Caenorhabditis elegans: one gene and its partner. The protein of the gene in region 1 interacts with the protein of each later gene in a pairwise test. Each region holds a gene or a part of one and is shown on either strand. Other genes may lie near its edges. The genes, in order: cnk-1 and T10C6.6.

Evidence for each region.
Region 2: the proteins of cnk-1 (region 1) and T10C6.6 interact in a two-hybrid assay, tested with the Caenorhabditis elegans proteins (one large-scale study listed by BioGRID).

What each region holds. Positions count from the first base shown.
Region 1 is NC_003281.10:10,263,591-10,280,890, reverse strand, and holds cnk-1 (Connector enhancer of kinase suppressor of ras), read right to left. Parts: upstream 9,635-17,300; 5' UTR 9,588-9,634; coding exon 9,506-9,587; intron 9,459-9,505; exon of another isoform or gene 9,416-9,458; coding exon of another isoform or gene 9,364-9,415; intron 9,151-9,363; coding exon 9,034-9,150; intron 8,983-9,033; coding exon 8,819-8,982; intron 8,234-8,818; coding exon 7,895-8,233; intron 7,134-7,894; coding exon 7,014-7,133; intron 6,584-7,013; coding exon 6,192-6,583; intron 5,918-6,191; coding exon 5,622-5,917; intron 4,868-5,621; coding exon 4,672-4,867; intron 4,611-4,671; coding exon 4,209-4,610; intron 3,516-4,208; coding exon 3,447-3,515; intron 3,239-3,446; coding exon 3,165-3,238; intron 3,061-3,164; coding exon 2,906-3,060; 3' UTR 2,311-2,905; downstream 1-2,310. Other genes in the region: pad-2 (GDP-fucose protein O-fucosyltransferase 2), read right to left, coding at 13-361, 756-998, 1,055-1,199, 1,393-1,762; inpp-4B (PH domain-containing protein), read left to right, coding at 14,022-14,135, 14,178-14,294, 14,441-14,545, 14,763-15,064, 15,283-15,418, 15,884-16,036, 16,118-16,426, 17,183-17,300.
Region 2 is NC_003283.11:16,018,467-16,033,203, forward strand, and holds T10C6.6 (Major facilitator superfamily (MFS) profile domain-containing protein), read left to right. Parts: upstream 1-5,870; coding exon 5,871-5,926; intron 5,927-6,472; coding exon 6,473-6,725; intron 6,726-6,782; coding exon 6,783-7,135; intron 7,136-7,696; coding exon 7,697-7,723; intron 7,724-8,007; coding exon 8,008-8,593; intron 8,594-8,642; coding exon 8,643-8,765; downstream 8,766-14,737. Other genes in the region: srx-43 (Serpentine receptor class X-43), read left to right, coding at 1-186, 236-312, 366-532, 576-638, 686-825, 1,285-1,396; srx-44 (7TM GPCR serpentine receptor class x (Srx) domain-containing protein), read left to right, coding at 1,903-1,907, 2,191-2,284, 2,944-3,107, 3,166-3,312, 3,393-3,531, 3,672-3,842, 3,893-4,032, 4,078-4,186; cwc-15 (Spliceosome-associated protein CWC15 homolog), read left to right, coding at 4,889-5,059, 5,107-5,628; T10C6.7 (F-box domain-containing protein), read right to left, coding at 10,869-10,884, 11,897-12,177, 12,455-12,770, 12,813-13,022, 13,071-13,201; T10C6.16 (FBA_2 domain-containing protein), read right to left, coding at 14,005-14,197, 14,319-14,539.

The DNA of each region.
Region 1 (17,300 bases):
GAAAAAAAGTACCTGATCAATTATAGCAATTTGTCCATCATTAAGCTTCTGTGTGTCAGTAAATCTGTAAACTTCCAACTCTCCATTCAACAGAGCTTTGAGCTCATCGACTTCTTGATCCGGAGCATCTGTAGCTAGATAGATCTTTTGTAGATCAAGCTTCTTGCACAGATCTTGCAGAATCTTTGCGGTCCCAGGAATTGTTGGGAGCTGTGCACGCCGAGCATACAGGAAATCTCTTCGCCTCCAGTGAATTCCGAGATATGGTCCTCCGATTGCAGTTCTTCTTGGCTTTTCTTTAGTCCAGTCATCAACTAACTTGGTTTTGTCTCTTTTGTCGTCAGAGTCCAAGTACTTTTTTCTTAAATTTTTTGTTTTAATTTTAACTAATTTTTATTATGGTAGCCTAGAGCCTAGAAACCATATCGAAAGGTATTATAGAGATAAATTAATCTACTTAAAATTGGCAACAGATTGCAAAAAAAAAACAACTGTTTCTAGTTTCGTTCAGAATTAAGCTATGGCAGCCGACATTTCACGGGTTTTTTTGAGAACACGACTCGTGGTATGTCGGCTGCAATAGCTTGATGTTAAGCTAGAAAAATATGTGAAAAATGAAAACGTAGATAAACTTTAAATTTGATTGTTTTCAAGTTAACCACATTTTGACAACTTTATGTTGCTATAACTTTTTCTAAAGTACATATAAAAATTTTCTGTAGATCAATATGCCAGTTTAAAATTAAAGTTCCCACCTAAACGCGTCAGCAACATCCACAAGATCATTGGAATATCTCATACTCCTTCTCGCCTTCCAGTAATCAACTTCTCCATAATGTTCATGAAGGATTGTCTCTGCTCGATCTACCATAATCGACGTAGATTCAGAAAAATTCGAGTGCTTCAGAAGATCTTTCAGCGTTCCAGAGTCGCCTTGAATCGAAACACATTGGAAATTTCTAGAATACACGTCTTCGTAAGAGTAGAACCAGCCTTTCCTGTGAAATAAGGGACACGTTAAATTGAAGAGAAAAATTAATATAGAAAAACTAACCATTTGAACTCTTCCACCTGTTTATAATGTGATTCCGCTGGTGGAAGGCAGCTCCGTTTCTCGAATTTTCGAACATATTCAGTTCCCCAGCCCTCTGCATAATGTTGCAGGTAGATTACTTGATCGATCGGACGATTTTCTGTTTCTGAAAAAAATAATTTAAATTCTTCAATAGTCTTGGCGAGCCGTCTCTTTTTTTCCGGAGTTTAAAAAATATATGTATTGCAATTACGCTTCACGAATCCAGCCTCCGTAAATCGCCACATGGCAGAGGATTTTTAAAACTCTTCCACCTTGATAATACAAATCTTGGAAATCTAGGCCATCTCCGCACTCACCGTCAAGAAAATCCTCAAACTCAATAACCGGAATAAACCGATTCAAACTCTCCAAATCGAAAAAAAGACGCCACGAAAGCGCCACCTCCATTCGTTTCCAGTGATGAAGCCGTCCCCATGGAGGCAACACGAGAATATAATTTTCTCCAGAGTCTCGCAACGATCTTACTGTATTCGCAACCCGCATATATACATCTCTTCGTAAATTGAAACCCTCTCCGAAGTTTACATCGTAAAGTAGGAATTTCTTCTCGGCGGCAACCGAATACCGGTTCGAGTCCACCCGAGACACGGTCTGATCAGAATTTTCAGCAAATGCAATTTTTTCAGCAAAAAATAATACCAGTAATTGAATTGGAAAGAAATGCATCTGGAAAATCGAGAGATTTTGAGGAACTTAAAATTCTGAAATTTAGAATTCTTAGAGGGGCAACGTTCTGTAATGTGCTAAAAGATTACAAAATTAGCTTGAATATACGTCGATTGAATTATATATATATATGTATATGAGATTTTACTTTATAGTCAATGAATCTTTAGCGTTTCAGAATCTCCGATATCTAACATCCCTAGGAGCGAGAGGTCTCAATTTCAAAATTTTCAAAGAACAGTTAAAAAAAACAAATTTATATAAGAATTGTGGTTTTCGAGTAGAGAGTTATAGTTGAACACGAGAAAATCAAATTTCGCAGGGAATCTGGCTGTGCGATAGAGCGGAAATGCTAGGCTCGTGGCAGAACCCATCATGCGCCTTCAAACTGTTTTTCCCCAGATTTTCCAACAAAAAAAACGTTTTTTTTTCAGCAGAAAATTTACATTTGAAAGAAACGTTTGGAAAACTATTCAACAACAAAAAAATCGAGATATTTTCAGGAACTTGCCGATTCAGTGAGTATTCGGAAAAATGTGCAATTTTTGTGAGTGAGCGAGAATTTATTATATATACTTATATATATATTTTCAAGAAATAAAGTAGAAAAATCAATAAATGAGACAACGAGTATTCAAAGGGAGGATATGGGGCGATGGGCGGTGCTGAATAGATATTTCGGTTCGCGCAACGAGACTCTGATATTGATAGGTGGCCGTGGATAGAAAAAACTCGGCCACCAACTTTTTTTCCGGCCAAAAATTGTGGAATATCGGAGCATCGTTACGAAAACCGAAATTTCTGATTTTCTCGCTATAAAATGGGTTGCGGTGAAGTTTTGTGACAAGGATTTTTTTGTTTGTGTGGGACTAGAGTGTGAAACTGAAGAAATGAAAATCGAGATGTTCGGGACGAGGAGAGGATCATTTTGTGTGTGTGTGTGTGTGCGGGGTTTACAGTTTACAGGGGAAAATAGAAAATAACACGTGGCCGAGGAAAAAGCTCTTCCACCAAAAACACGTTGGTGGCCTAGGATGTGAATTTTTAGGCCACTAAAATTGAAAGTCTGAAAATTTACAGATGGGACATGAATATTCACAGGAGAAGGAGGGTGATGGAGGGAAAAATTAGAAAATTCGTAAATTATTTTTGCTTAAAACCGCCGCCGCCGAGACCTCCCGACTTTGAGGTCGTCATTCCATTTGTGGTTACACGTGGCAATGTGCTCAAGCCACTGCCCGTCTGTTGTCCGAGGAAGAAATTCTGGTCGGACAAGTCATTGTTGTAACTGGAGACCGCTGAAAATTCTGGAAGATTTGGAAGAAGTCATGCCCATATTTTGACTCTTGGTTTCAAAAACTTTTTAATCCCCCTACACATTTTTCGGTCGTGATCTACTTACACTGTGACATAATCCTTGGCTGCGTGCCAGCATTGGCAAAAATCTCTTTAGCCATCTTCATTTTTTGTGTCCAACTGAAAAATTGCATATTTTAAATCGTGACAAGACCCAAAGCTAGTGTCCCACCACGAAAGCCTACAGTAACCCTGAGGTTTTCGTGGCGAGACCCAGTCCAGTCATAATTATACTCAAATTGAAGCTCTCGGCAAGCTGAATATGAATATACTAATGAAAATGTCGAAATCTCCAAGTTTCAAATGAATTTGACGAAATAAAGCTCACTTCCTCCAGTCCAAAGCGGTGAAACATGAAAAATGATAGTCGAGCGGAGCAGCAGTGATGCGGAATATGCTGAAAATTACATTTTTAGGAAATATGTGTAGCTTTCACTAGTTTTCTATATCTGAATTAAATTATTGAGAGTTCCATGAGAGAAACTGAATTTGCGCGTCAAATATGGCGCATTGGGTCCGCGCGCCTTTTGCAATAAAAATACGGTACTCGGTCTCCCCACGCGAAATATCTCGTGGCGAAAACTACAGTAATTCTTTAAATGACTACTGTAGTTTCGATTTACGGGCTTGACTTTCGAAATGATATTTTCAAATTTCTTGCAAACTTTTAATATTTTTTCGATAAATAAATAATTTATTTTATTGAAATAAAATTAAAATTATGCAAGAAATGAGAAAATATCATTTCGAAAGTTAAGCCCGACACTACAGTAGTCTTTTAAATAATTACTGTAGTTTTCGTTACGAAATATTTTGCGCGTCAAATATGTTGCGCAATACGCAATCTCAGGATTTGTGCTATTTTAACACACGTGGTGTCAGAATGTCCCATGTCGGTTTGATCTACGTAGATCAACAAAAAAAACGGGAGTTTGAGACACCGACTTCTGAACTGATTTTGCTGACGTCACATTTTTTTGGGCGAAAAATTCCCGCATTTTTTGTAGATCAAACCGTGATTGGACAGCCTGACACCACGTATTAATAAAAATCTTAGAAAAAAACACATTTTTCGCGTTTTTTTTCGTACTTTTTCTTGGAAGTCTTCAAATCTGTCGAATCCGAAATAGTGGCCTTAATCAGATTGATAACCATTTCAGGCCGTTTCGTATTCTGATTTGTGTACAGCAAAAGATAATGTCCACGTAGACACATCCATATTTTCGGCCATTTATTCGTCAGCTCATTCGCATTCAGTTCCGCCCGTGTTTTCCGCCTCCGCACCCATCCTTCAAACAGTTTCTCCATTCCTGCGTAGGCGGCTGATATTGGTGAGCCCGGTAGATCGTCGGGGTTCGGTGACCACTCGGTTTGACTCGTCGACATTTGAAATTTCCCGAATGGCGCCGGACTGCTCACACTGTTCATTGATGACGTGGATGGGGATGGGAGTACGCCGAACGCTGATTCTTCCACTGATGACGTCATTCGGCTGGAATTTCAGGGTTTTTACTGTTTTTTGCTGTAAAAATGTAAAATTTCTTTATTTTTACCTAGAAACTGGCAATAATCTCGGCGAATCCAGACTAAATCCGGAAATATTCGAATCACCGACAGCTCGGAAACTTGGAGCCGCAAACTCTTGGTATGGAGCCTTCCAATCTTCGTCTGAAACTCGTGCTTCCGGTAAATTTAGAACTTTCAGTTCTTCTTTGTCGACTTCTTTAATTTGAGCAAACTCGTTGGGACCTGGAAATTAGAAATTTGGATATTGAGATCGTACTAATGGAAATATTCAATTTGAGTATAAACATGACTAGGTTTCACTATTTAGGGTCTCGTTCCGAATACCTTGGGGGTACTGTAGGCTAAACTAGCGAACTAAATTCAGAGCTGTCGATCTAATTTCTTTGAAATCTGAAAATAATCAAAATTTTTAAAAACGTGGTATTTCGCCACAATATACAAAAAATTCGGGGTCTCGACAAGAATTTTGAAGCGAAAAATTGTCGAGTTTCGGAAAAATCTCAAAAAAATTTTTTTTATTCATTTTAAGCTTTTCTATTTTCAGATTAGGGAAACTATTAATTTGGCCTAACTAGACTTCGAATACTGTAGGTCCCGTCACGAAAAACCTACAGTACCCCGAGATTTTCGTGGCGGGACCCAATTTTGCTTTGACTATAGTCGACTTAAGGCTTAATGATTCAAAAAATTAATTTAATTTTTTTTTTCAATTTTTTAAACGAATTTGATAGCGTTCCGTGTAAAAAACTGTTGATGATCGAAAAATTTTGTTAAATTTTGCCATTTTTCTTCTTTTTTTTTTAATTTCAAAATTTTTTAAATTCAAATTAGCAGAAAATTGTATGAATTCTTATGTATTTTTTTCTGGTCAAAACATTTTTTCATTTTTGTTTCAGATTTTGGCTGGCCATACTCAAATTGCAGTCCTTCCGTGCACAAATTTGATGCCAAAAAATGTATTTCTCTAAAAACTTACACTTGACATTAAAAGTCAACTGATCATTGACGACATCATCCTCAATATCAGTAACAAGCTTATTATCAATAAAGCTTCGAACATAACCATCCGGTTGATGACGCATTGTTCTTGTTCTTTTAGCAATTCTTGGAACTAATGCTTCTTCTTCTCCATCTACATTTCGAATAAATTCATGAACATCCCAATCATCTTCATCATCTCCGTCTAGAGCTCGTTCGTCTATATTTTTTCGTTCTTTTCTCGGACACGCAGAGGCTATGGAGGAACGGCGGATTAGGCGGCGACTTATTCGGCTGGAAATATTTTTTTTTTAATTTTTTCAGAATGAAAATATTGCTCTTCTAGAAAATTGATTTTATTTTGAAATTTCAAAAAAAAAAGAAAAAAAACATTAATTTTTTTTCAAATTTGGAGTGAAAAAAGGAAAATTCCGAAAATTCCCAATTTTAAACTTCAAAAATAAAATTTTAATTTAAAAAAAATTAGCAAATCCAATTTTTGTCTTTAAAAATTTTTTTTAATTTTTTTGTTCAAAATTTTGGAAATTTGTTGAAAAAAAATTCTCACATTTTTCTCTCATTTTCCTTAATAATTTCCGAAATCACATGACAACTTCGATGCCTTTTCAATGGTTCAGATTGTCCAAATGGATCATAATCATCTGTTGAATAGGTCTTCGCCGTCTGACTCGACGGAGCAAGAGCTCGAGCCGCCAGCTTCGATTGTTTCGGTAGTTGAGGCTCTCGGGGACGGCGTTTCACGATAAGTGAGAGCTCCAGGACATCCAGAGCTCCAACTTGTTGAACAACACTCGTCAAATCCCATCCAACAACAGTTCGTCCATTGATCATTAGAATTTCATCGCCTGCGTCGATTTTTGTACACGCGTCTGCTGGGGATCCTTCTTTGATTTCACTAATTACATGGACACCACGGTATGAGGATTGAATGTTGAGACCCTGCAAATTGAGATGGGATTGAGGACTCGATCGTTCCAGGTTTTTCCTCAAGAAAATTGAAAATACTGGAAAAAAATATTTTAACAAAATCAAAATTCTGAAAATAAAAATTAAAAAAAAAATTTAAAATTAATTCAGGTTTTCCAAGTTAAAAAATGTTTTTAATATGAAACAAATCGGAAAAATCAACTTATTTCTGCTTTCCGTGTTTGTTTTTCGAAAAAAAAATCGGAAAAATAATTATTTCGATTTATGCTCAACTTTCTGGTTTTTCCTCAAGAAAATGAGAAAATGTTGGAAAAATTCTTCGATCTCTTCGCGAGCGTGAATAAATAAATAAATTTCATTTTTGAATAATTGAAAAAATCAAAAAAAATTTTTTTTTGATGAATTCCAGGATTTTTCCATTTTTTTGTTGTAAAAAACCTACCCAATTAATATTATCAGATCTTCGGCGAAGTAGAGCAGATTCGATAAAACACGCGTACAGGATCAACGGATCATCACAGTCGACAATTTTCTGGCATTCATAGGCCAGCTCTTTTGACATCTGGAAATAAATTTTTTTGTAGTTTAATTTTATTTAAAAAATTTTTAATTCAAGAACGACTGAAAAAATTTCAATTTTTTTAAATTGTAATTCAGTTAACTATAATTTGTTAATTTTTTGCAATAATTTCTAACTTGTGATTTTCAAAAAAAAAACAGTTTTTTTCATATTTAAAGCCATCAGAATTAAAAAAATTACATTTTTTATAAAACATTTTGAGGAAAACAAAACGGATTTTTTTTTTGAGAAAAATTAAACTTTAAAAAATAATAATTCGCTTTTATTGTCTGGAAAATTGATTTTTAATTCAAAAAAAATTATATCGTATCCTGTAATTTTTTTTTCCAATAAAATAAATAATTAATTGTAGAAATTAATTTCTAATTACTTTAAAATGTTCTTAATTAGAAAATGGATGTTTTCTCAATTTTGAAAAAAAAATCCAATTTTTTTGCAGAAAAATCAATTTAAAAAATTTAAGAATCATAGATATTGTCTGAAGAATTAATTTTTTTAAATTACATTTTTCTGGCAAAAATCTGATTTTTTTTTAAATTGAAAAATTTTAAATCCGACATTTTCTGAAACTTTTGAAGCTGATTATTTTTCGATTTCAAGTTTTTTAATAAATATTTTTAATTATTTGAGAAATATTCATTGAAATCTTCAGAAACTGTCTGATTTGAAAAAAAACTTTTCAAATTTTTTTAAAATTCAAATTTTCAGTCAAAATATCCCATCGATAACCTAAAAATCCTCACCCTAACAATTTGACTTCCAGTCTCAAACAAAGCTTTCGGTTGTACATTAACATTTCTCAATAGGTTCCACATAAAAGAAGAAACACTATTTCTAACGTTAATAAATTCGGGTTCCTCGTCAAACGGAGTCCGATCAAGCCAAAAAACGAATCGTTTCGTGTGCTCGGCGAGCTGTAACACTGCATTTGACACACTATTCAGAATATTCACAATTTCCGATCGACGGATCGCTTTCTCCCGCATTCGCATCGCTGACGTCATCGTGCGTTCTACGTAGAGACACGAGGTTTTTACTTGTTGAGCCAGGCGTTGGAGATTCTCGTGTTCCGATTCGTGACACTGAAAATGAAAATAATTTTTAAAAATCAACAAAATTTCTGATAAAAAATCTTGAAAAATTAGACTTTCAGAGTTTTTTCTTGATGTTCAGGAGATTAGTACAAAGCAAGTTTTGAATTTTTCTGCGAAAAATCCAAAATTAGGCGGTAGGCAGGCAGGAATGCCTACTTTGGTTTTTTTTTCCAGAGTAGACAGAAAATCATTAAAACATCTTTGAAAAAATTGCGGAGAAGTTAGTAAAATTCAAAATCTCTTAAAAATCATTAAATTTTTAAAAAATCGACTGAAAATCCTAGAAAACTTATAATTTTTTACCATTTTTCATGATTTTTAGCAGCTTTTTCTGCACAAAATGTTTAGTTCCGATGGAAGTTTTTTCTCACTAAATAGTGGTTTTCTCCGAAAAGACACTTTTTTTCAAAAAAAAATCTTAAAAACTTCAAAAATTTGCGGAAAAGTTAGAATCTCTTCTGAACTTTGTGGAGCTTTACAGCTGATTTTTAGAATTGGTTGAAAATTCAGCAAAAACTGCTGAAAATTCTATTTCGAAAAAAATCCATTTTCCTGTTGAAAACTCCATCTTACAAAGTAGAGAAGCAACGAAACAGCCTGAAAAATCGTTTTCCTAGCTCCGAGAGCCGAAATGCCAATTTTTTTGAGCGAATCGTCGTCGAGAGCCTCCAATTGTTTTCCGCTTTTTATATTGTCACGAATCATGCCCAAATATGGATTCATTTGATCGCCAAGTCCTGGAAATTATTAATTTTTCAGTGAATATTTTTTTCCGCGGCGATAAAAACCTTCAATCCATCTTGCAATTTCTTTTCCTTTCCACTGCTCAACACATCGGGCAAACGAGAGTTGGGGCTCGTAGCTGGCGGAGAGCATCGGACTTCCCGAACGGAGACCGGATGACACTGAAATTTAAATTTAAATATTTTAATGAAGAAATCTGTTTTTTTTTCAGTTTTTGTGGATTTTTAAATCAGAAACCGTCCAATTTCGCTGGAAATAGCTTCATTTTCGTTTAAATATGTAAGGTTTTCTGGAAATATCGCCAATTTAATTGAAGAATCAATAATTTTTGTGGATTTTCCCAATTAAAAGTTTCGCAAAAATCAATTTTTTACCTGTTTCTGGTGAATTATGTTTTAAGCTAAGGTGCCGGGTTAGTGAGGACATTAAAGTCCTTGAAAAACAATTTTTCGAACAAATTAGTTTCTTCCCCGGCTACAGTATCCACGGTTACTGTAGCCGAGAAACTGTGCCCACCTGAACTAATCCCAGAGGAGATTCCCAACGCCTGTTTGGCTTCAAGTGGTGTCGACGGAAATCCCATTGTGGTTGAGAACATATTCAAAAATTCGGAACAATCACAACATTATGCTAGTTTGGCTGCAGCTGTAAGAATCCAGAATTTCCCAAATTAATTGTAAAAATTGAGGAAAAAGTGCAGAAGGTTGCATAAAATCAACAATTTCTTTTTTTAACTGAAAACAAACACTAAAATTGATTGATTTTTCGCGAAAAAGTTATGAAAATAAATGAAAAATCAAGTACAGTACTAATTAAAAACAAAAATTCCAAGAAAAAAGGAGCATTGCTCAATTTATCGAGCGGGTCCTATGGAGAACTCGGCGTACTCCTCTCGGAGGAGACGTGGCCTAGAATTCTCCTCGTCCCTGTCGATTTACGATGTGACACGGCCTCCACCACGAGAAATGCGCAGAGAGAGCGCAGAGAAAAAGGCGGTCTCTGCGTCTCTCACCTCCACAACATGGCGAGAGTGCGCGCTCAACCACCTCACTTAGAACGAGTCGGGAAGAAAGGAAATTGCATATTTCTGAAAAGAAACAATTGGAACGGATAAAGAGTACTGTCCTCTACAGTCTGGCATAAATTTCACAGAATAGTTTTGTCATTGAAATAAGTGAAGAGAGTGAACATAATATTACACATTCCCCTCTAAAACGAGCAAGTTTAAGATTTTTTCCCAAATTTTTTTTGTAAAATGTATTCAATATATTCCCAATTAATGAGTTAATACAAAAAAACCCCAATAAATAAGTTATGAGAGAAACTTTTTTTGACATCAAACATTTACAGCTCAAAATTTCAGCACTTTCCGGAAGATAGTGACCGTAAAATGAAAGATTTCAAAAATCGGAAACAATACGATTGTTCTAATTTTTAATACGCACATTTTAACATATCACACATAAAAATCCGTCAATGTTGAAAGATGTTATTTGATCTAGAAGGTTGACTACAGTACTAAAATGACCAAATTTTCAGGAAATAGTTGGCTTGGACTCAAAAATCGGAAACAATACGATTGTTCTAATTTTTAATACGCACATTTTGACATATCACACATAAAAATCCGTCAATGTTGAAAGATGTTATTTGATGTAGAAGGTTGGGTGCTTTGATACAGTAGTACCCACTCTACTGCGCCCTCACACTTTGGATGCTCCTATCTCCGCTCCTATGAAAGTTACAAAAAAGTTGTCAACTAACAAAATGTTCAGTGTGACATTGTGAACATTTTTTCTGTTGACAATATTTTTCTAACTAGTAAGACAAATTTTTTACAGGCCCCGAAAGCCGTATTTATGAGAAAATCAGAGATCAGTTCATAACTCAAAAAATAAAGACATTAGAAGAAAGTAGTCAACTACAAATTTGTTAGATATCTTATATAGAGTATGTTTCCGATAAAAAACTCAATTTTAATGTTCAGGATTTTTTGACATGGCCAGTTTAAGATGATCAATTTTCAAAAGTCAAAATCTATTATTTTTGTAGATAGAAATGTAGTTTTTGCTGGTAAATGTTGTTTTTTATCTGCTTAACATTTTCTCAGTTGAACATATTTTTGTATCTTCAGCGAGAACAGAGATTTGATGGTTTTAAGAGAGGGTACTGTAACTGGGACTTCATTCATCAAATCATAGCTATATCTTTTTAGTGGAACGAGATATCAAAAAATTGTCAACTAAAGAAATGTTCACCTATTTGTGATGTTCATTTTGTCAGTTCACCGCTAGTTTCTATCTCCAACGCGAAAAAAGTTGTAGTTCAAAGTCCATAAAGTACATACACTTCACCACGAGAAGAGCGAGAATCAGCCCGAAGCCACAGTCGTACATATTTTCTTTATTTAAGCCGTTCAAATACACTCATCGTACCATATTTAATAATTTTCAATCTAAAAAAGTGCTCTTCTGTCCAGAATTTTTCTAATTCCATCTAATTCTTGCTAAAAACCACTGAAAAACAGCTCGTATTAACTATTTTTGTAATTTCCGATTTTCCACGTTATTAATTTTCACTATTTCTGTGAAAAAAAATCTGCCTTCCCTTCTACATTAAATCCCAATGTTGCAAGGTTGTCCATTTTTGTCGAAAAAATAAAAGTAGGGCAACTTTTCGACACATGATGTCCAAAAAACATGTAATGGTACTTTGAGAGTTTATAGCTCAGCGGGGAGTGGCCCGAAAATTTTGATTTTTGTTTCTCCCCCTTTCAAAAATCTGTCCCAGTATGGTCATCAAAACGGGGTTGCACAATTTTGCTCCGGGAGCCCACGGGAGTCGGAAAACTGAAGCTACTTCATTTTGGTGGATGTGTTAGTACTGGCAAAAAACCACTTTTAATTGATGCAAAATTCGAGTTTTTCTTGGATCTTTTCAAAACTTGACACATAGTTAGGCCTGACGGAGCCCGATTTTTTGAGCCATAATTCAAAATATTTGACCTACTTTCGAAAATGTAGGCCATCATTAAAGTTTTCGAAAAACTAAAAAGATGAACATTTATTTAATCGACGTGAAAAACTGCCTTGCCTCTCTCTCTCTCTCTTGGTTCGCTCATTGATGTGAGTTGGATTATTTTCATTTCTTAAACATTTTTATTTAATTTTTTTATACAAAAAATTTTTTTTTCCAAAATTACCCATGTTTTCCAAATCAGGCCACATCTTGCGCTCTTTGAGCTGCCTCAAGCTGTTTATAATTAGAAGTTGTTGACTTTTTTCACAAATTTTCCAGTTTCAGATCATGCATATCGGCTTGAGGGCCGCAGGGGAAAACACATAGAAAAGACTCAGAAATTATATTATCTTCAAATGATCGTAACTCAGTCAATTTTAGTCCAAAATGTTCCAAATTTTTCCCAGTTTACCAACTTAACCTACTGCGAAGCCTAGCGCACTGCGTGCGCTAGTCTGCCTCTTCCTATATTAAATCCGGAAATTGCATTCTTGACAGAAATAAAAAAATAAGGGCAACTTTTCGACACGTGAGTGTCCGACAAAAATGTACAAACTTTGAGCTTTAATAACTTGGCTCATAGCTGGCGCTTTTGCATTCACTAAGTGCGAATGACTCAAGAATAGTTGCCCCACCATGGTCATTATTGAGGGGATTGGTTTTGGGAAGGGTAGAACACTGATTTGCGCGGGTTTCTGGAGACCGCGAAATTTGAATATTTTCTTTGTACTGAAGAGCTTTATGTTTTTCAGTCCCAAACGTGCAGTTTTTGTGTCAGTTGATTCCAATTTGTGCGCAAGAGAGAACTTTGTATTACCAATTTTTGAAACTATTTTAAAAAAAAATTGGTCCATTTTCCAAAATGTAGGCCATCATTCAAATTTAGCAAAATTAAAAAGATGGATTAAACGTGAAAAACTTTTCTATCACTCTCTCTCTCTCTCTATTTTTGTGGATGAATTCGATAATTTTCATTTCTTATTTTTATAACGTGAGGAGAATTTAATTTTAAAGATTTTTTGAGATTTTTACTTTTTCTCTAATCCTATGGAGGACCGCACTTCTCGGACATTTTGGTCACTTTAAACCTCACTTCCAGCAGGGCAGGCTGGAGGGCTGCAATGCTATTGTTTTTCACTCAAACCCAAAAAATCCTTCTTACTCTTAGAAATTTTAGACCTTTTCTATCCCTACTCCCAGCAGAGCAGGCTGGAGGCCTTCTATGAGACGTATGTTTCCATAACTACGTCTGTTTTTGGAAAGGTCAGGTAATCCGGATTGAGGGCCGCAGGCCCGAATACACAAAAGTATTGGACAGCCATCAAGCCTATTCTGAGCCCAATAAACCCGAGTTGAGGGCCGCATGCCCGAATACACGAAGAAGTGTTGGAGATCCGTCAAGCCTATTTTTAGCTAAATAATTCAGGTTCAAGGCCACAGGCCCGAATACACATAGAAGCGTTGGACAACTGTTAAGCCTATTTTGGGCCCAATAATTCACAATGCGGGCCGCAGGCCCGAATACATGTAGAAACAGTGGGGAACCGTTAAGTGCGATTTGAAAAGTGAAGATTTTTATTTATAAAATTATTATTAAACTAAATTTGGCCGGTCTTGACAAACTTCTGCACATTTACTTGACATTTACTCAACACTTGGCTAAATATTAATAAAGCGAATTTTTCTTGAGTTACTCTACGCCGAACCAAACTGCGAAGCCTAGCAAATCTCCGATTTGCTAGTCGAAATTTCGTTCAAAAATAGCGATTCTGGCTCAATTTCATGAATATCTGCTGAAAGCGGCGGCGAGGCAAGGTGGCCGTCCGCAAACGCGCAAACAAAAAGCGAGAGAGTGTGCGCATTTCTCGTGGTGGAGGCCGTGATTTGTATTTCGTGATTTTTCGTGATTTTTTCTGATTTTTCTAATTTTTCTGCTTCAAAGTTGCTGAATTTTTAAATTTTTCATTCAAAATTAATTTTTTCTTTCAAAATTATCGATTTTTCAGGGCAAAAAATGGACGAAGACAACGCAAACGAGATATTCAAAGCGTTCAACAAACAAAATATCGAGTACGATCTATCGGGTACCGCCACCGTTTGTTATAAATCAAAAACCTATTCAGCGAAGGTAAATGTCAATTCTCATAAATCAACGTCGCTTTTTTCTCAGATCCTTCTCCATGGCAACGTGTTGTGCGTCGAAGAGTCCGGTGGAGCTGTCACTTCTGCCTGTGTTCCACTTATATTCCTGCTAGAGCGAGTTGTTTTGAAGAAACTCGAGGAGAATGTACGATTTGTTTGTTGGGTGGCAGAGGAGACTTTTTATCAGAAAATTTCTTGAATTTTCCTGTTTTTCTTTTAAAAAAAACTATTTTTAACGACTTTTGGAGCAAATTCTCTGCAATTCCTCAATTTAAATCACAATTTTTGCAGTCAGATACCGCAAAATTCACATTTCTTCTCACATTCACGGATCCGGCAGAGAATTTGGAAATATCTGTGGAAAGTGAAGAATTACGAGAGCAGTGGATGATAAAGGTAGGCTTAGGCTTAAGCTTAGGCTTTAAAAAAATGTTGTTTGAAATTTGAAAAAAAGCCAGAAAGCTATGTATTTTCTTACCATTTTTTCTAGATTTTTCTGAAAAAAAATCGAAAATTCTGCGATGACGTCTCGAATTGCAGTTTTTCATTTAAAAAAATCTGAATTCTCGAATTTTCAATTAAAAAAATTTCCAAAAAATCATAAAACTTCCAGCTCGCCACGTGCTCACACCAAATGGCCCGCGCCGAGCTCGACGAGCTTGCCTACAAATTCTACACAATGTCACCGTCGGCAAGCAGTGGCGGCGATTCGGACGGAGTAATCGACCCGAAAACCTCTGCTTTTCAGAATTTCTACCTCTCGGCGCCACTCAGAATTGCTCATAATTTTGCAATCTCCCAACAGAATAACTTACCTGCACGGCGGGTTATTGTAGAGGAATGCATGTGGGAAACCAAGTTATCAATCATTTTACCCAAGGAAATTATCAAATTGAATAGGAAAAAGATTTCAGAGTATGTGAAATTGTAGATTTTGGTATTAAAATGGGAATTTCAACTGAAAAATTAACTTTTCTACACAGAAAATCTACCAAAATATGCAAAAAAAAACAATTTTCAAAATTTTAAGACATTTTTCTACTGTTTTTATTTCTTTCAAATTAAATAAAATCACAGAAATTAAAAATTTAATTATTGGTATCAAAAAACGAAAAATAAACTTTTTTTTTCAGATTTTCCGGATTATTGGAAAGTCGGCTGAAAACGTGGCCTCAATCTTCGATACCAGGACTACATGAAGTAATACGACAGCTACGTGGAATGTCAGAGACCTATGAGCAATGTTTTGAATTTGTTGACGCGTATTCTGTAAGGATCCACGCAACAAAAATGCCAAAAAAAATATTAGAAAAAATCCAGAAAAATCTTTAAAAAAAAGGAATTTTTTACAATAAAAAACATCAAAAAAGTTGAATTTTACGATTTTTGGTAAGAAAAAAAAACGAAAAACTAACATTTTAGACTTATTTGTAATTTTTTCAATTTTTTTTACAGTTTTCAGTTCTTTTTTTTTAAGCTGAAAAAATGTTTTTAAACTGGTTCTCAGTTTTTTACAAAAAAAATTTTTTAATGATTTTTTTTCCAATTTTTTGATTCTATTTCAGAAGAATAGTCGGGAGACCTAGATTTTTGACTAATTTCTAATTTGTTTTCCAATATCAAAAAATTTAGAAAAATACTAAAATCCAAAATAAAACGCTTTTAAAAAATTTGGTGTTTTTTTTTCAAAAAATTAAATCGCAATTAAAACAAATTATTTGCCAATAATTTCAGGGTCCAAATTTCCGGAAATCAGTAGAAAAGACGCGGGTAGCGTTTGGTCTCGTGCCCACCAATCTACATATTCATTCCTACGAGATTAATTCCAGTGATAAACGGGATTTTATCACTGCTGGCTCAGCTTCTGCAATTCCTTATCGTTATCATGTGAGTTTTTTTTAACGGTAAAAATTATGCAATATTTTATTAAAATAAAAAAAAAATTTATTAGAATAAACCCATTTTCAGAACGGCGGAATTCTGAAACTCTATTCGCAACTCGACGTTCCATCCTACAATTTTGACTATACATTCTGGAAGAAACGACAAGCACTGCTTGATCTCAAAAAAACGATAGGAGAACTAAGTCATAAAATTGAAAAAGAGTGGAAAATCGCGAAATTCGGAAGTCCCGACAAGATATGTCTACAGGTTCACGCAGGAATTAAGCAAGTGTACGAAGGCCTGAAAGATGTGCTCATAAGTCTTCCAGACGTTGAACGGTGCTCTGAGCTTCTGCTGGAAGAGGAGAAGCGGAGGGAAGAGTCTGGAGCCAAGGTAGATAAGATTTTTAAGAATTTTGGAGTTTTTTTCGGAAATTTCTCAAAGAAAAACTTTGAAATTCAGATAAAAATTTAAAAAAAAAACGGTTTCTGTTTTAAAATTAAAATTGGAATAAAAATTCAGAAATGCACAAATTTTTGTTGAAACAAACATGACGCATCGATATAAACTATACCCTTTTTTAGTATTTCGAAGAAAAAAAAATCAAAAAACTAAGCTTTTATACTGAAAACTTCAAATAAACACAAGTCTATAGGAAAAAGAAACATGGTGCATCGATATAAACAATTTTTTCAGTGAAAATTATTATTAAAAAAATCGAAAAACTGGATTTTTGAAAGAAGAAATCGCATAAAATATAGAGTGAATTAAAGAAATTCCCAAAAATTGTGCAAAGTTGTGCAAAAAATTTCGAAAAAGCACAATTTTAGTTGACAAAAAAAACATGATATCGATATAAACAATTTCCTATTTATTGAAGTTTTTCAATGAGAAAAATTTAAATTTGAAAAAAAAACCAAAAATCACAGATAAACTTAGTACCATACTCAAAAAGCTAGAATAAAATTTTTAAAATTGAGAATTCGCTGCAAGACTCAAAAACAAATTATATTTTTTTTTTGAAATTTAAATTTTTCTCATAAAGGAATTAATTTTAAAAATCAGCAAAACTTTCCTAAAAACTTTAGAACAACACATTTTTGTTCGAAAAAAACATGATGCATCGATCGAAACACACCTAAATTCCAGATGCCCGAGACACGAGTCTACGACAACATTCAAAATCAAATCGACCGTCTTGACGCGATGAGCGTGAGCCTCAACACAAAGATCGCCGTAATCGACACGTTAAACGAGGCTCCACACG
Region 2 (14,737 bases), on another chromosome or scaffold:
TATCAATAGCGGAAGCTTCTCGACATTAGGCGTGCTCCTGAACATCAAGCCCGTGCTATCTATCAGTTACCTCTTCGGAAATTTCAGCATCTTCCTGCTCCCTGTGATTTTGATTAGCTTCTTGCTAATGTCGTTTAATAGATTCTGCGCCTGCTTTTTCCCATTGAGATATCAGAATTTGTTCTCGTTAGTTTTTGGTATTTGTGAAATAATAATAGTAATTTTTGGTTTTTAGAAGCTCCATGATCAGAACTTTTATCGTTTTCAACTGGCTTCTATCGCTCGTAGCAGGCAGCTATTTAGTTGTAGTACGTAAGTGGAACCTAAAAATGTAATCCCAACTCCATTTCATCCTATTTTTCCAGGAGAATGCAACTTCGTATTCTACCATTTCGGATGGTTGTTTGCTGGCTCCGTTTCAGTAAAGTGTGGGACTCTGCTGAGCCTCTATTCGATCTCGATTCAGACGGTTCTAAGCATCACAATTGTCGGCCTGGATGTAGTCACTTTGGTTGCTTTGATGGCTTTTAGAGTGAGATTTAGCAGTAATTTGAAAAATAAGAATAAATTTTCAGAGCAAGGTATACCAGAGCCATAGTGTCGAGGTGCGAAGACGTGAGCTGAGCTTTTCTGGACAGGTTGGAAATTCGCAGGAACTTTCAAGTTCAAAATCTAAAATTTCCAGGTCATAATTCAAGGTGCAGTATTTCTGTGTCATGGTGCATGGTATGATATGGGTCACGCGATCCTCCCGGGAAACGACGACCGCTGGAAGTTCTTCTTTACAACTTCGTTCTCATCCAATCTGCTACATGTTTTTGATCCGTAAGTGCTGAAAATTATGCTTCACTAGCGTTCGGAGATGCAAAAAGGCGTTTTCGAACGTAAAATTCACCACTGTTAAATTTCCTTAATTCAAATCTATGTAAAAATCCTCAACAGCGGTGAGAATTGCACTATTCCAACTCTGATAAGCATCCCAGTCTAATGTAAAATCACCTGGATTCTTTTAGTCACACATTTTTGATTCAATGCTCTTCCACGTCATAAGGGGAGTTAGACTCCGATCTAGAGGAAAAACTTGTCTGGAAGGCAACCTACGCCTACGTTGTCTGGAAATCTACCGGCTGCAGTATAGGCGTAGGTTTTCCTCAAGGCTTGGTGCGTCCACAGAGATGTGAAGGTGGCATTTTAGCTGCGTACAAGCTCGAAGAGGAGAAAACTTCAGCAAGAATCGAAAAAATGTGCCAAGTTTTCAGTTTGGTCCTCATAATTTATTTTCAGTGTAGTCGTCTTCGCCTTCAACAAAGAGTTTCGCAGATGGCTTTTCCGTAATTTCAACGTCCCGACAGCTCAGAAGAGAATCGTGACAGTGGTTTCCGCTCATAATACATAATCTTCCTGTTCTAATAACTCCAACTGAACCCCAAACTGTCGTATAGTACATTCTCTCGAACCCTTTTTCTGCACCTATAGGTGTTGAAAACATATGGATTATATCTAAATATTATTCGCTCACTAACGTCATTATAAATTGGACACTTCCCCCGTAATTTGCTCGTATTTCTTTCTGAAAGATCCTGTATAAATTTTTCAATTATTTTTTTTTGGCATTCCAACTAATTTATTCAATAAAACAAAAAACTTGTCTATACATAAGATCAAACCACTCTTCTCTCCGAGCTCAAACTTTTTGAACACCTACTAATTGTTAGCGACAGCTGTAATGTCGGGATTGCAGTCTCATAATTCAAAAAGGGCGGAGTCTGTAGCCAGAAGTCTATAATTATTTTGAGAAACTTCAAAAACACCTGCTTGACAGCACAAAAAAATCATGTTAAAAAATCAATTTTTGGGTAGTCAACGGAAGTATTTCAAGGCGAAGCGTCACGAAACTGGATTATGGTGTAAGTTGATCAAGTTTTAATAATTTTGTTTTTTAGTCTAATATTAATGAATATGAAAACTGAATACTCCAAAAACATTTGAAAATTAAAAAAAAATTCAATCAAAGTTTTGGTAATTTGCCAATTTTGAGAAAAGTTGGGCTTTTTGGAAATGTTAAAACAATATTGCATGTTTGAAGTTTGGAAGTTCCTTCATAGATTTTGATGTTCTTCAGATGGCAATATTTCCAGCAGTGTCTTTTTTCCTTTGAAAATGTGAACCTTTAGCTTTTAAATGTTTCAGAACAACATTTCGAAACGACTCATATTTCACTGAAGCCGACGAAGATTATGTGTTTGGGCCAGATGACACTAAAGCCGGAATGATTATTAGTTTGGTGAGCAACTTTTTTTGGCATTTTCTAAAGAACAATCTTTTTAGGAAGTATATTGAAAGTAGTTATTATCAGTACAATGAATAAAGAGATAAGAGCTTATGCTACTAATGTGTAGCATTCGTAGTTTGTAGTCAGTGGCGTCACGTACCTTTCGAGGAATTTCAAAATCTCACTTTTATAGATTCAATTCTGGGCAGAAATTTTTTGAAGTTCGGTAAAAAATGTCTAAGTTTTTCCAAAGCCTGGGACGATATTTTGCAAGAAGTAACAGAAGGTAGTCAAAGTTCTAAAGGGATTATCCAAAATTTAACAGAAAATTGCCAATACTTGAAATAAAACATTTTAAAGTTTGACAGAAATGTCCAAACTTTGGTTGAAAATTTCCAAAGTTTTATCGGAAATTGTTAAAGTTTGACTGAGAAAATAGTCAAAGTCTGGACAAAAGTTTCTTAAGTTTGCCAACAAATAGACAAAGTTCTATAGAACATTTCCAAAATTTGGCAAACATTTTTCAAGGTTTGGCAACAATTTTAAACGTTTGGCAGAACATTGTCAAAGTTCTGCAGATACGTATCTTCCAAAGATTTTCAGAAAATTTCCAAACTTCGACTAAAAATTCTCAAATTTTGGCAGAAAGTTAACAAATTTCTAATTTTCAGGTCGGCTTCATCGGAGTCTCTGTTCAATCTGTCGTTGTCACCGGCGCATATAATATCAAGAACATGAAGGGTACCGTATTTGGAGCCCTAATTTTAAATGAAACATTTTCCCAGTTTGCGGCAACTTCCATCACATTTTTCTTCTTTTTCGTAGGAATTTTTTTGTTAGTTTATACTTTTTTTGCGCACTAAATAATCTCCAACCGTATTGAAACATTCTAGAAACACAATATTAATTGTCAGTAATTCTGCAATTTTCGGAAATATATCCCTGACAATTTTGCCAATTATGCTGGGCACCCACTTTCTGATGGCTTTCAACAGGTTTTGTGCTTCAAGTATGCCATTTGGATACAGAAAAATCTTTAGGTATGTTTATAGGATGCCTACCTGCCTGCTTGGTAGGCTCACGGTAGGCGTAGGTCGCCTGAGGAGATTACGTTTTTCAGCAAAAATTACGTACTCACTTACATCATCATAAATTGGACACTTCCCCCCGTAATTTATTCGTATTTTTTCTTCTTTTATAATTGTTCCTTCCCGTTTTTCCAATTTGGGTGGGTTTTCATGGAAGCTCAGCGGAATGAGGTGAGATTTCGGGGTCTTGCCACGAGCGAAACTTTTCGGCTACAGTACTTGGTGCAAATGGTCTCGACACGGCAAAAAATTGGTTACGGTAGCTGAAGCGTGACAGGACCCCGAGCGTGATTTTGATTGAGCATTTCCAGACATGTGGAGCAAAACTTCTACTGTTAAGCCTATCTGTTCAGTTCGTGATTATCTTTATTATCACAATTCTGGATATTTCCACGTTTATCATTCTTATCACTTGTCGAAAATCGATATTTAAAGGGCAAAGTAAAGAGAATAAACAACGCGATATCAATTTTGCGATGCAGGTGCGCTGTAAACGAGCTCTTGCAAAATAAATTCAAATTCCTTGTTTTAGGTGATAATTCAGGGAATTGTTATGGTGTTTTTTGGTGTTTGGTATGTTTCCGGTTATTCGTTTTTGCCTGGCAACAGGCTGGATTGGAAAATTTTTATGACAACTACGGTCTCGTCTTCTTTAACTAATTGCCTAGCACCGTTAGTGCTATATTTCACGAGCAATATCAATTTTTCAGTTTTCAGAATAGTAATATGTTTTTTCAATGCAGAATATCGCCGATGGATTATTCGTTTGATTCGCCGAGAAGGAGCATCACAGAATTTGACAGTTGTGTTGAGTAGGACTTCATAAATAATCAATTTTTATTAAAAATTTGTTAGATAAACGTTTTTTATTTGTTTCTCTTTTGAAAATTCCCTGAAAGTGTGTTTAAAATTCGATTTCCACCCGAAACCAAATTGGCGAAAACTCATATTCAAAACTCGCGCCGAAATGTGGTGGTGGCCGCGTGGCCGCGGACTAAGTGACGCCGCTAGGCCATTTGGCGAAAATCAATTTATAAATTTTTCCCGATGTTTTTAAAGTTTCTCGTCGTTTTCTATCATTTTCTACTTGTTTTTTCGTTAATTGAAAAGTGAAACATCGTTTATGCAAACTTTTTACTGAAGAATCTGTGTCAAAATTGTTAATTTTGAGGCTAAAAGCACTGAAGATCGGGACAAAGGTTTAATTTCGAATTCCGATAGATTTAAATAAGAATAATGTTTTTTTCTACTTTTTTAATGGTTTTTCATGTAAATTACTAAACTTGCACATGTTTGTATGAAAAATTGCAATAGAAAAACGATTATTTTACGTTCAAATTGAAAAATTGTATACTTCCGAGCAATTTCTTGTTCCGATCCGGAAAAAAAGTTTAAATTTCAAATTCAAACAAGTTAAACAAACATAAATTTTATTTTCGTTCCATATTTATTACTTTTCGCACAAAGTATCTTATATTTCCTCTGTTCTCTCGAAATAACGTTCACAAATTGTAATTTTTTCAGCAAAATGACCACGGCCCATCGTCCAACTTTTCACCCAGCTCGCGGAGGAACCGCTCGTGGTGAAGGAGATCTGTCGAAGCTCTCGAATCAATACTCGTCGAAGGATATGCCATCTCACACCAAAATGAAGTACAGACAGACCGGACAGGAGACTGAAGCCGATTTGAGAAAGAAGGTAAACGAAAAATCAATGATTTTCAAGCAATATAAAATAATTTTCAGGATCTCCGTCGTGAATTGGAAGACAAGGAGCGAAACGCAATCCGTGAGAAGCGTGCTCGTGACTCTGCTTCTTCGTCTTCAAGCCATTCGAAACGCCAACGAATGGATCAAATTGCTGCCGAGTCAGCGGCGTCTGTGGATGCAGATGAAGCAGTGGACGAGCTGAATTCGTCAGACGACGATGACTCCGATGAGGATGACACTGCAGCGTTGATGGCGGAGCTGGAGAAGATCAAGAAAGAACGAGCAGAAGAGAAGGCGGCGAGAGACGAGGAAATTAAGGAGAAGGAGGAGAAGCAAAGAATGGAGAATATTCTAGCCGGAAATCCACTGCTCAACGATACTCCAGCCGGATCCTCCACTTCTGGAGGCGATTTCACTGTGAAACGACGATGGGATGATGACGTGGTCTTCAAGAATTGTGCAAAAGGAGTCGAGGAGAGAAAGAAGGAGGTCACATTCATCAACGATGCTATCAGATCGGAATTCCACAAGAAATTCATGGACAAATACATTAAATAATTGATTTTTGTCTAATGATTCATCCATTTTTCACTGTTTTCCATCAATTTTCACTCAATTATATGCCACTGGCTCGACAAAACAATAAACGTGATATTTTGTAGTGTGTACCCTTTCAGAGCTCGTAGGCCGTATCGACTTTTCAAGTACTTTTGTCCTTTTTCCTTATCAATAGTAGTTATCAACCTTATCAATATATACGGAGCAGTCTCAATTTTAATATTAATCAAGTTTTTTTCAAAATGGTACAGACGATGTCGTCACGGAAGGTGATGGTGTTCGTGGTGACGTTTGTCAGGTAAGATTTTCACATTTCTAAAGTAATTTTCAAGTAAACCGGATGATTTTCGTATCAAAAATACAATTTTTCCACAAAAATATTTGCATTTTAACATGAAAAACTTCGAAAAAATCCTAGAAAGTCAATAAAAATAAAATCGTAACCACTTAAAGGCACAGGGGCTTATTCGGATGGGTCTCGCCACGAGAAGAACGTTTATGGTACCATTTTTTCGTTTTCCAGCGCCGGTTGTCTCCTTAATTCGTTTTCATCAATTTTAACAGGTTTCAAGCAATGTAATTGATTTTTTTATTTAATTGCTGAGAAAAGCAAATATTTCATAGATAAATAAGAAAAACGACCGCCGCAAAATTGAAAAAAACGAGATTAAATACTGTTGTCATTTTCCTGGCGAGACCCAGCCGAATAAATCCATTCGCCTTCAAAGAAAAAACAACTTTTTTCGTAAAACACCAACCATTCTTGTTTTACACGCTCAATACGTAATTATGCACAGTTAAAATACTCAAATTCTCAAAATTTCCTTAATTTTTAATATTTCAGTTACGGCCTGTACCACGCGAGTCGCAAAGCATTATCCGGAGTGAAATCGTCGATAAAAGCGGATTGGCTGAGCAACTCGTCCGGCCACGCGCCACTATTCACCAATGAAGCCGACGCCAAGCACTTTTTGGGATCACTCGACGCGATTTTCATGGCGGCCTACGCGGCGGCTCTCTTCTTTTGGGGTTGGCTCGGCGATCGGCTGAATCCGAAGCTTGTCGTCGCAGCTGGAATGGTTGGCTCTGCGGTTACGGTGAGTACAAACTGCTAGGCTTCTAAATTCCTAATTCGTTTAAAATTCAATTTTCAGCTCACTCTCTTCGGCGCCATCCCAAAATGGTTCAATTTCTACCATGCGCCCTACTATATCATGACCTACGTGGCGTTTGGGCTTGTTCAGGCCTGCGGATGGCCCAGTGAAATCGCGATTATGGCCAACTGGTTCGGAAAAGGAAATCGCGGATTTGTGATGGGTGTCTGGGCCGCGTGTCAGCCCGTCGGCAACATTTTCGGATCGATTTTCACGGCGATGGTGCTTCCACTAGGTTATCAGTACACTTTTGTGTTCAATTCGGTGCTCATTGCTCTCGGAGCAATTGTAGTCGTCATGGCTATTGATTCATCGCCTAATGAAGAGCATGAGGATGGCGTAGAGGCAAATAGGTAAGAGTTGAGAAGAAATAGGTCTTGCCACGATTTCGTACTGTCGTAAACACCCTAATATTTTGTGTAGACCTCCAAGTGTCGATTTACGCAGCTCGTGTAGTCCTCGAGGAGAAACATGCAAATTTTTACCACAGAAAATAACACAATTTTTGGCAAAAAATGCTTGAATTTTAACATTTTCGCTTTTTCTTCTTGAAAAATATAATTATTTCTGCTAAAAACTACATAATATGTAATTTTAAAGTTTTTTAATCAGTAAATACACAGCTTTTCACCTGAAAATCTCCAAAAAGTTGATAATTTGACTGTTACACCGCTTCTTATTCAACGGCAATGATCCAAAATCGAGCGTTTTTGCCGCCGAAGACTTCTACTTTAAAAAAATGCAAGCTCGTCCTCGGGGAATACACGATCTGCGTAAATCGACGCAACTATCTTTTCACTTCCAAAGCTTGCAATTTGAAAAAAAAAACAATACGAAATCGTGCCAAGTCCACAAAAATCTAACAGAAACACACGATTTTTTTTTCAAAAAACCAAAATTTTTCCTTTTCCTAGGATTCGCCTTCTCCGACGATCTAGCAGGTGGGAAAATTCGCGAACGTTCGTTGTTCTGTTTCTTTTGTTTTGTGCGTGTGTGGATTTTTTACGTTTCAAAATCGTAAATGCATGAGCCCGCCAACTTCTCTCTGATTTCGAAACTATCGTTTGAAATTTCAAATTTCAATTGAAATCCTCACACTGACCGTGTACTCCTCGAGGAGAAGTGTGATTTTTCTATTTTCCTCGTGGAGTACACGAGTAAAAGAGTCCGTTCTCACAGCCATTTTAAGCGTTAAAACTTCATTATTTATTCTATTTAATTCCAGCTCCGAGCCCCATCACAACTTCCACGGTGAGCCAATATCCCTCTTCAAGGCCGTTCTTCTGCCAGGCGTGCTCGCCTACTGCATCTGCAATGCCTGCCTGAAACTCGTCAACTACGCCTTCTTTTTCTGGCTTCCACTCTACTTGACCGATGCCTATCACTGGGAAGAGTCGCAGGCGGATCAGTTGAGCATTTGGTACGATTTTGGAGGCATTATTGGAAGTGTGCTCGGCGGATACATTACTGACAAGATGGGAAAACGATCTCCGCTCATCGTCGCGATGCTCGTGTGCTCCATTGGCTCGCTGTACTTTTACGCTCACGTCGGGCCGCACATGTTCTGGAATGCGGTCGTCATGACCACCGTCGGAGTTACAGTCTCTGGGCCGTACAACTTGATCGTTGGGTCCATCTCAATCGATCTAGGATCACAACCTGCTCTAGCTGGGAACACACAGGCGATGTCCACGGTGTCGGGATTGTTGGATGGCACTGGATCGGCAGGATCCGCTGTTGGACAGCTTCTCATTCCGATCATCCAGGACGACCTGGGATGGAAGGCTGTGTTCTATGTGTTCATGCTATTGGTATGCTACGATTTTTCTTCTTCCATAAAATAATTAAATTAATTTTCAGAACGGATTCGCCATCCTAGCCATCCTCAAGCGCTGCATCATCGATCTGAAATCGCTTCGAAAGCTCCGCAGTGGAGAAGAATCTCCGCTTCTCAATGACGAAGCCGGTGATCACGAGGACTGATAACTTAATTTTGTTTAATTTTATTGATTTACATAATTCTCGCTAACACTTCCACCCCTCACAGTTTTAATTCCAAGTTTATGTACATGTTGATATACGGATTCCCATTGATTGTTCCACCCCAAAGATTCTATTTGCCTTCTTCAATTTCCTTCCTGTGATGATGGGTAGTCTTCCACCTTTTTTTGTGCAATGTTGTTGATATGAACCAAATTATACAGAGAATTAGTTCATTTTTTGAAATAGAATAATAATAGACGACACATAGTTTAGTAGTGGAAAGGATCAAAAAAATATTCAGATTCCCTTAGCATTGGTCGATCAAAATGCCGCCGGTTCCAGACAACGAACAAAATTTTTTTACCCGAATGGAACAGGGTGGCGAGTTTTCCGTCACCTTCTATGTCCTTGCCGTTTTCCAGATCCAGGAGATATGGTTTGAATTGGTTGTCCATTCTGAAAATATGAGCTTAAGAAATTTTGATCCCTGAGACGTCATTCTGCAAGTCTGCGGCGCGGTTATTCGTGTCGATTTACGCAGACCACCGTTTACAGTGTTTTTTCTATAATATATTATATTTATAACTTTCACCTAAAACTAGAAGCAATTCGGGAAATAGTACACGGCGGTTGGCGTAAATAAAAAAAATCTCTAAAAACTGACATATAATATTGATTTCTGTTTCCCCGATCCCATGGCTGAAGATTCAGGTTGATTTTAAGATTATCCGCATTGAATGCAACATTGTTTAGAATCTCGAGTCTTTTCAGATTGCTGCATTTTCCAAGTGTCCACTGCTGGATGAACGCGTTGACATCAAGCGCGGTGAGGTTAGTGTAGGTAAGCGTGAGACGAGTGAAATTCACGCTCTGAAGGAACGCACGAGTCATCCAATTAGCATTCATGAGGCAAACGTTGCGGAGGGTGAACATCTGGAAGAGCGAAAAATGAATAATCGAGTTTGAAATAGGGATTGAAATTCGCCGGCGCAAATTGTATACGCTTCAGCCGGCGGCGGCGCCTGATAATACGAAACAGGTTCAGAACTTACAAACTAAAATATCATATATCAGGCATTTTTTAACACTTAATCTGACCACATACACAGCGTGCGCCGCCAGCGGAACTACACAATCCTCTCTGTACCGACGCCGGCGGCGGCGCAAACCAAACTGCGCAGCCGCCGACGCTCAGGCTGTCACAGCGCCCCGCCAAATTGGTCCTTTTTCAAGCCCTAGTTTGAAATGCCTCCAACACAGTTATTGCGGTCTAAGACGTTTTTGACTAGACTTTAGACAGCTTACCTCATTCAGATCGAACTTAGTTGTGTCGATAGGGAGATTAATGATGATTCCATCCAAAAGTTCGTAATCGTCAAGCAAGTTCCTCATGTTCGTGTGAGACCGACTTAAGTTTCCAGTCAGCTTCAGCGTGAGGCGATCGTTGAAAATTTTGTACTTAGCGAAATCGATTAGTTTCGGAGGTTTGCACTGAGAACCCAACTTGACTTGAGCAAGTCCAGCGCGACATTGGAAAATTTCGGAGAAATACTGAAGACAAGGTTCCACACAAGCATCAAAGCTGTCAGTGATGAAATTGAATCGAGTTTTTTTGGTGAAGCTGAAAATTTGGATTTTTTAAAGTTAAAAAAGAGCTGACTCACCTTATCAACTGGATTTCTCGATCTCCAAACTTTAGCGGATCGAGACGCGTTCCCGCAAAATTTTCAGGTTTTGGTACGAAATAGAAAATGAGTACGGGACATTTGCCAATTATTGCGGAAAGATATTGAGCCATGGTCTGACGAAAAACAAACCGCAACGTGGTCAAATGTGATACGTGCATCCTTGATCAACGTGCGTATTCTCTCCGATAACTGGGACAATTGAAATCTGTAAAATTAAATAAATTATTTCCTTTCTGAATTTCTTATACAAGAAAAAAAATAACTCACACTTTAGCAGGGCCGAGTATTTTGAGAACGTTGGCAAAGGATTTGGCGTCTAGCTGCAGAAGCTTGGGGAACTTCGGTAAAGCGGCCGATACCGGTGATACCACCGGTACTCGAGGAGGAGACGGCGGTATATTGAAGTTACAGCAACTCATTGCGCAGTTGGACTGAGTGAGTAGAAAAGAATGACAAATTCGATTGGAGGAGGAGGTTGAGTGGAGAGGGCATGGTCAATGTGTTCTCCTGGGAAGAGGAGAGCGTGCGCGCGAACATTTCTTTTCATTTTTGAGGAAGATGTTGTTTTTATGGAAATTATCGATTCTAGACTTGCGAGGACTTTGGACGTTTTCATTTGGAAAATCATTTAGAAATTAATACGATTTGTTATGGGGCTACCGTATCTCTACAAAATTCAAAGACACATCAATATATGTACAATTGAATTTTGCTGAATTCAGCAGTGAGGCTTCCATGTAGGCGTTGAAACGCCTGCCTGCCTGACCTTGAGGCGACCTGCCTCTCGCCTCAATCCGTATAGGTGAACTTTTTTCGTTTTCATCGAATCTATAGAAATTAAAAAATTAGAAATTTATAAGCTCACACTTTAAATATGCAAAAAAAAGAGGCCGGCGTGAGGCGAGCAGGTTTCAGGCAGGCGTCAAACCCTGAAGCCGCGCCTGCCTACCATGGAAGCCCTATTTATAGGAATGGAATTTTGCGTTTCGTCTCTCCCCGATTGTTCTCCCAAAGATTCCATTTGTCATCCATTCTGTGATGATGGGTAGTCTTCCAAATTTTGTGTAATATTGCTGATATGATATGATATGATATGACAATTTCTGAGCCGATTCAAAACCTTAAGCTTCAGTTTGAGCCTAAACCTAAACCCAAACCTAAGCTTAAGACTAAGCCAAAGCCTAAGACTAAACCCAAGCTTAAGCCTAAGACAAAGCCTAAGCCTAAACCCGAGCTTGAGCCTAAGAGGGAGCCTAAGCCTAAGCATAAGCCCAAGCCCAAGTCTAAGCATATACCTAAGCCTAAGCTTAAGACGAGGCCTAAGCCTAAGACAAAGTCTAAGCCTAAACCCAAGCTTGAGCCTAAGCCTACGCAGAAGCCTAAAGGCAAAGCCCAGCCTAATAGTATGCATAATTAAAATAGGAAATAATTTCGAAAACTGACATGTGGAACTGATCTCTTCTTTCTGTATCTCGTGTCATAAACGTTAGGCCCCCCTTAAGAAAGTCCGAATTGAGTTGAACTTTGTTCCAAATCTCGATGAATTTCAAGTTATCCCAGTTTCCGTTTCTCCAGTGATTGATTATCTTAGTCACGTCTTCCTCTTTGAACTTGATGTTCATAAGTGTGAGCCGAGTGAGATTCCCAGTGATACGCATGTCCATAATTACGCTACTAGTAATCCAGTCACACTTCGTGATGCACACGTGAGGTAGGGAGAAGATCTGAAAGAAAATGTATTATTATTTTTTTGGTTTTACTATTAGTCGGTAATCCAAAATTTTGTTGATTTCGGAATTATAAATCCAAAAGGAAAAGTGCTCATTCATTTTTTGCCGAGAAGTTCAGTTTTTAAAGAAAAATTTAAAAAAAAACATATATTTTTGTTTTGTTGTGTGAATCAGGACATGGCCAAGTTAGACGTTTACGGCTAGTTATCTTTTACAAATAAAACTTGTATTAAAGTTTTGCCAAAACTTCAACAAACAAAAAAGTTCTCACCTTTTCCTCTTTGAAGTTAACGGAGTTGAGGTCAATGACGATTCCATGTAAAACATTCTTCTTGGGAAGCAACTGGAGCTCATTTTCGTATATAGTTCTTAGTTCTCCATGCAATTTCAGCACAAGGTGATTTTTGAAAAATTCCATTTCAAGGAAAACTCTCAATGTTTGGGGGTATAACTGATATTGAGGGTACACTTTGAATGATACGAGTTTACAGCGACAAACGAAAAGTTTGGAGAAATACTGGACGCAGGCTGCCACAGAAGACATGACGTTTGTAGTGTGGCATTTGAATTCGGTATGATTGTCAAGGCTGAAAACTTGGATATTTGAGAGCTGAAAAATGCTCACTCACAACGCCAGAATTTTTTGGCGTTCAAATTTCAGCTTCCTCGTACAATCTTCAGCTTTTGCGTTGAAGTAGAAAATGAGAAGCTGCTTCTCATTTATGCGAAATTCTATTGAATTAGAATTTTCCGAAAGTTTAATGACGATGTGGTCAAATGTGATGTTAGCAGCCTGGATCAACATGCACATTCTATTCGACAACTGGGACAATTGGAATCTGAAACATAACTTATTTCTTACAATTCATTCCAAGAAGCAAACTCACATTTTAACAGCGCCAAGAATCTTGAGAATGTTGGCGAAGGCTGGGGGAGGGAGCTGCAAGAGCCGTTTGAACTTCGGTTGTTTCTGCCTTCTCTTAAACAAATTACAGAAGAGCCAATTGAGGGCATCCATTGCACAGTTTGAATGGGTGAGTAGGAAAGAATGACAAATTCGATTGGTGGAGGAGGACGCATGAAGAGGGCATGGTCAATATGTTCTCCTGGGAAGAGGAGAGCGCGCGCGCGCGAACATTTCTTCTCGTTTTTGAGGAGGATATTGTTTTTGTTGGAAATTATCGATTCTAGACTTGCGAGGACTTTTCATTTGGAAATATTTTAGAAATAAATATGATTTGATAAGGGGCTACCGTATCACTAAAAAATTCATTTAAATAGTAGACATACCAAAATACAATTGAATTTAGGTATATCAAACTCTCGACTTTTTTCCAGGAAAAATCAGAAAAAAGTCAACACTCGGTTGGCCAATGGAAACACAACTTTCTGAAACAACTCTACATGTATGCAAACCATTACATGAGGTTAGAGATCATACCTTTGCATCTTGTTCCCGGTTTGTATTATAAGAATACAGATTTTTAGAAAGGGAAGATAATTATATTGAAAAAAGGAATGGTTGGAACATTTTTTTAGAAATTTGGAAAAATTCTAGAAACTTCTAAACTTGTTAAAATCTTTAAAAAACGTTGAGAATTTTCTGTAAATTTCTGGACAACTCTACATTAATTTCAAAATCATGTACAAGTTGATATACGGGTTCCCGATTGTTCCCCCAAAGATTCTATTTGCCTTCTTCAATTTCCTTCCTGTGATGATGATTCCACTTTTTGTACGATGTTGTTAATTATATGAACCAACTTATACAAAGAATTAGTTTACTTTTCAAAATAAATCATTAATAGACGACAAATAATCTTAAAAAAGATGTTCGTCAAAAGTATGCTCAGATTGGCGAGGGTAGTCAGGGATGTCGCCATTTTGGTGAAAAGTCCACACAGCAAACAAAAACTTATGATCCGAATGCAAAATTGTGGCGCGTCGTCCGATTCTTTCCACGTCGTAACCTTTCTCAAGTTTCAGAAGATAGGGGTTTTTGTAGTGGTCCATTCTGAAAATATATAAGTATAATTGATAATCCTGGCTAAAGATTTTGGCTCTTGTGTCGATTTACGACGCCGTAAAAAACCGTAAGCCTTCAGACACTAGAGATAATAAGGTCAAAAACTAACATGTAGCATCTATCTCCCCTTGTCGGATCTCTTGGCAGTACATGTAAGCCCATTTTAAGGTGGTTCGAGTCGAGGTTCTGATTGGCACAAATCTCGATGGTTTGCAAGTAATGACAGTTCTCGTTCTGCCAGTGTTTGATGAGCATGTTCACGTCCAGCGCGGTGAGCTTGGTGTACATCAGCGTGAGCCGAGTGAGTCTCTCAGTGAGACTCACGTCCATAATTGTGTCACGAGTAATCCAGCCCTTTTTAATAAAGCACACATGAGGCAGGGAGAAGATCTGAAAGCAAATGTTGTCTTTTCTTGAATTTTGGACCGATAATCGTTGATTTCGGACCTAAAAAAGATTTCAAAGCAACTCCTTCTCTTTTTACTCTTTTTGGCAAAAATTCTCAATACTCTATCTACATTCAATACA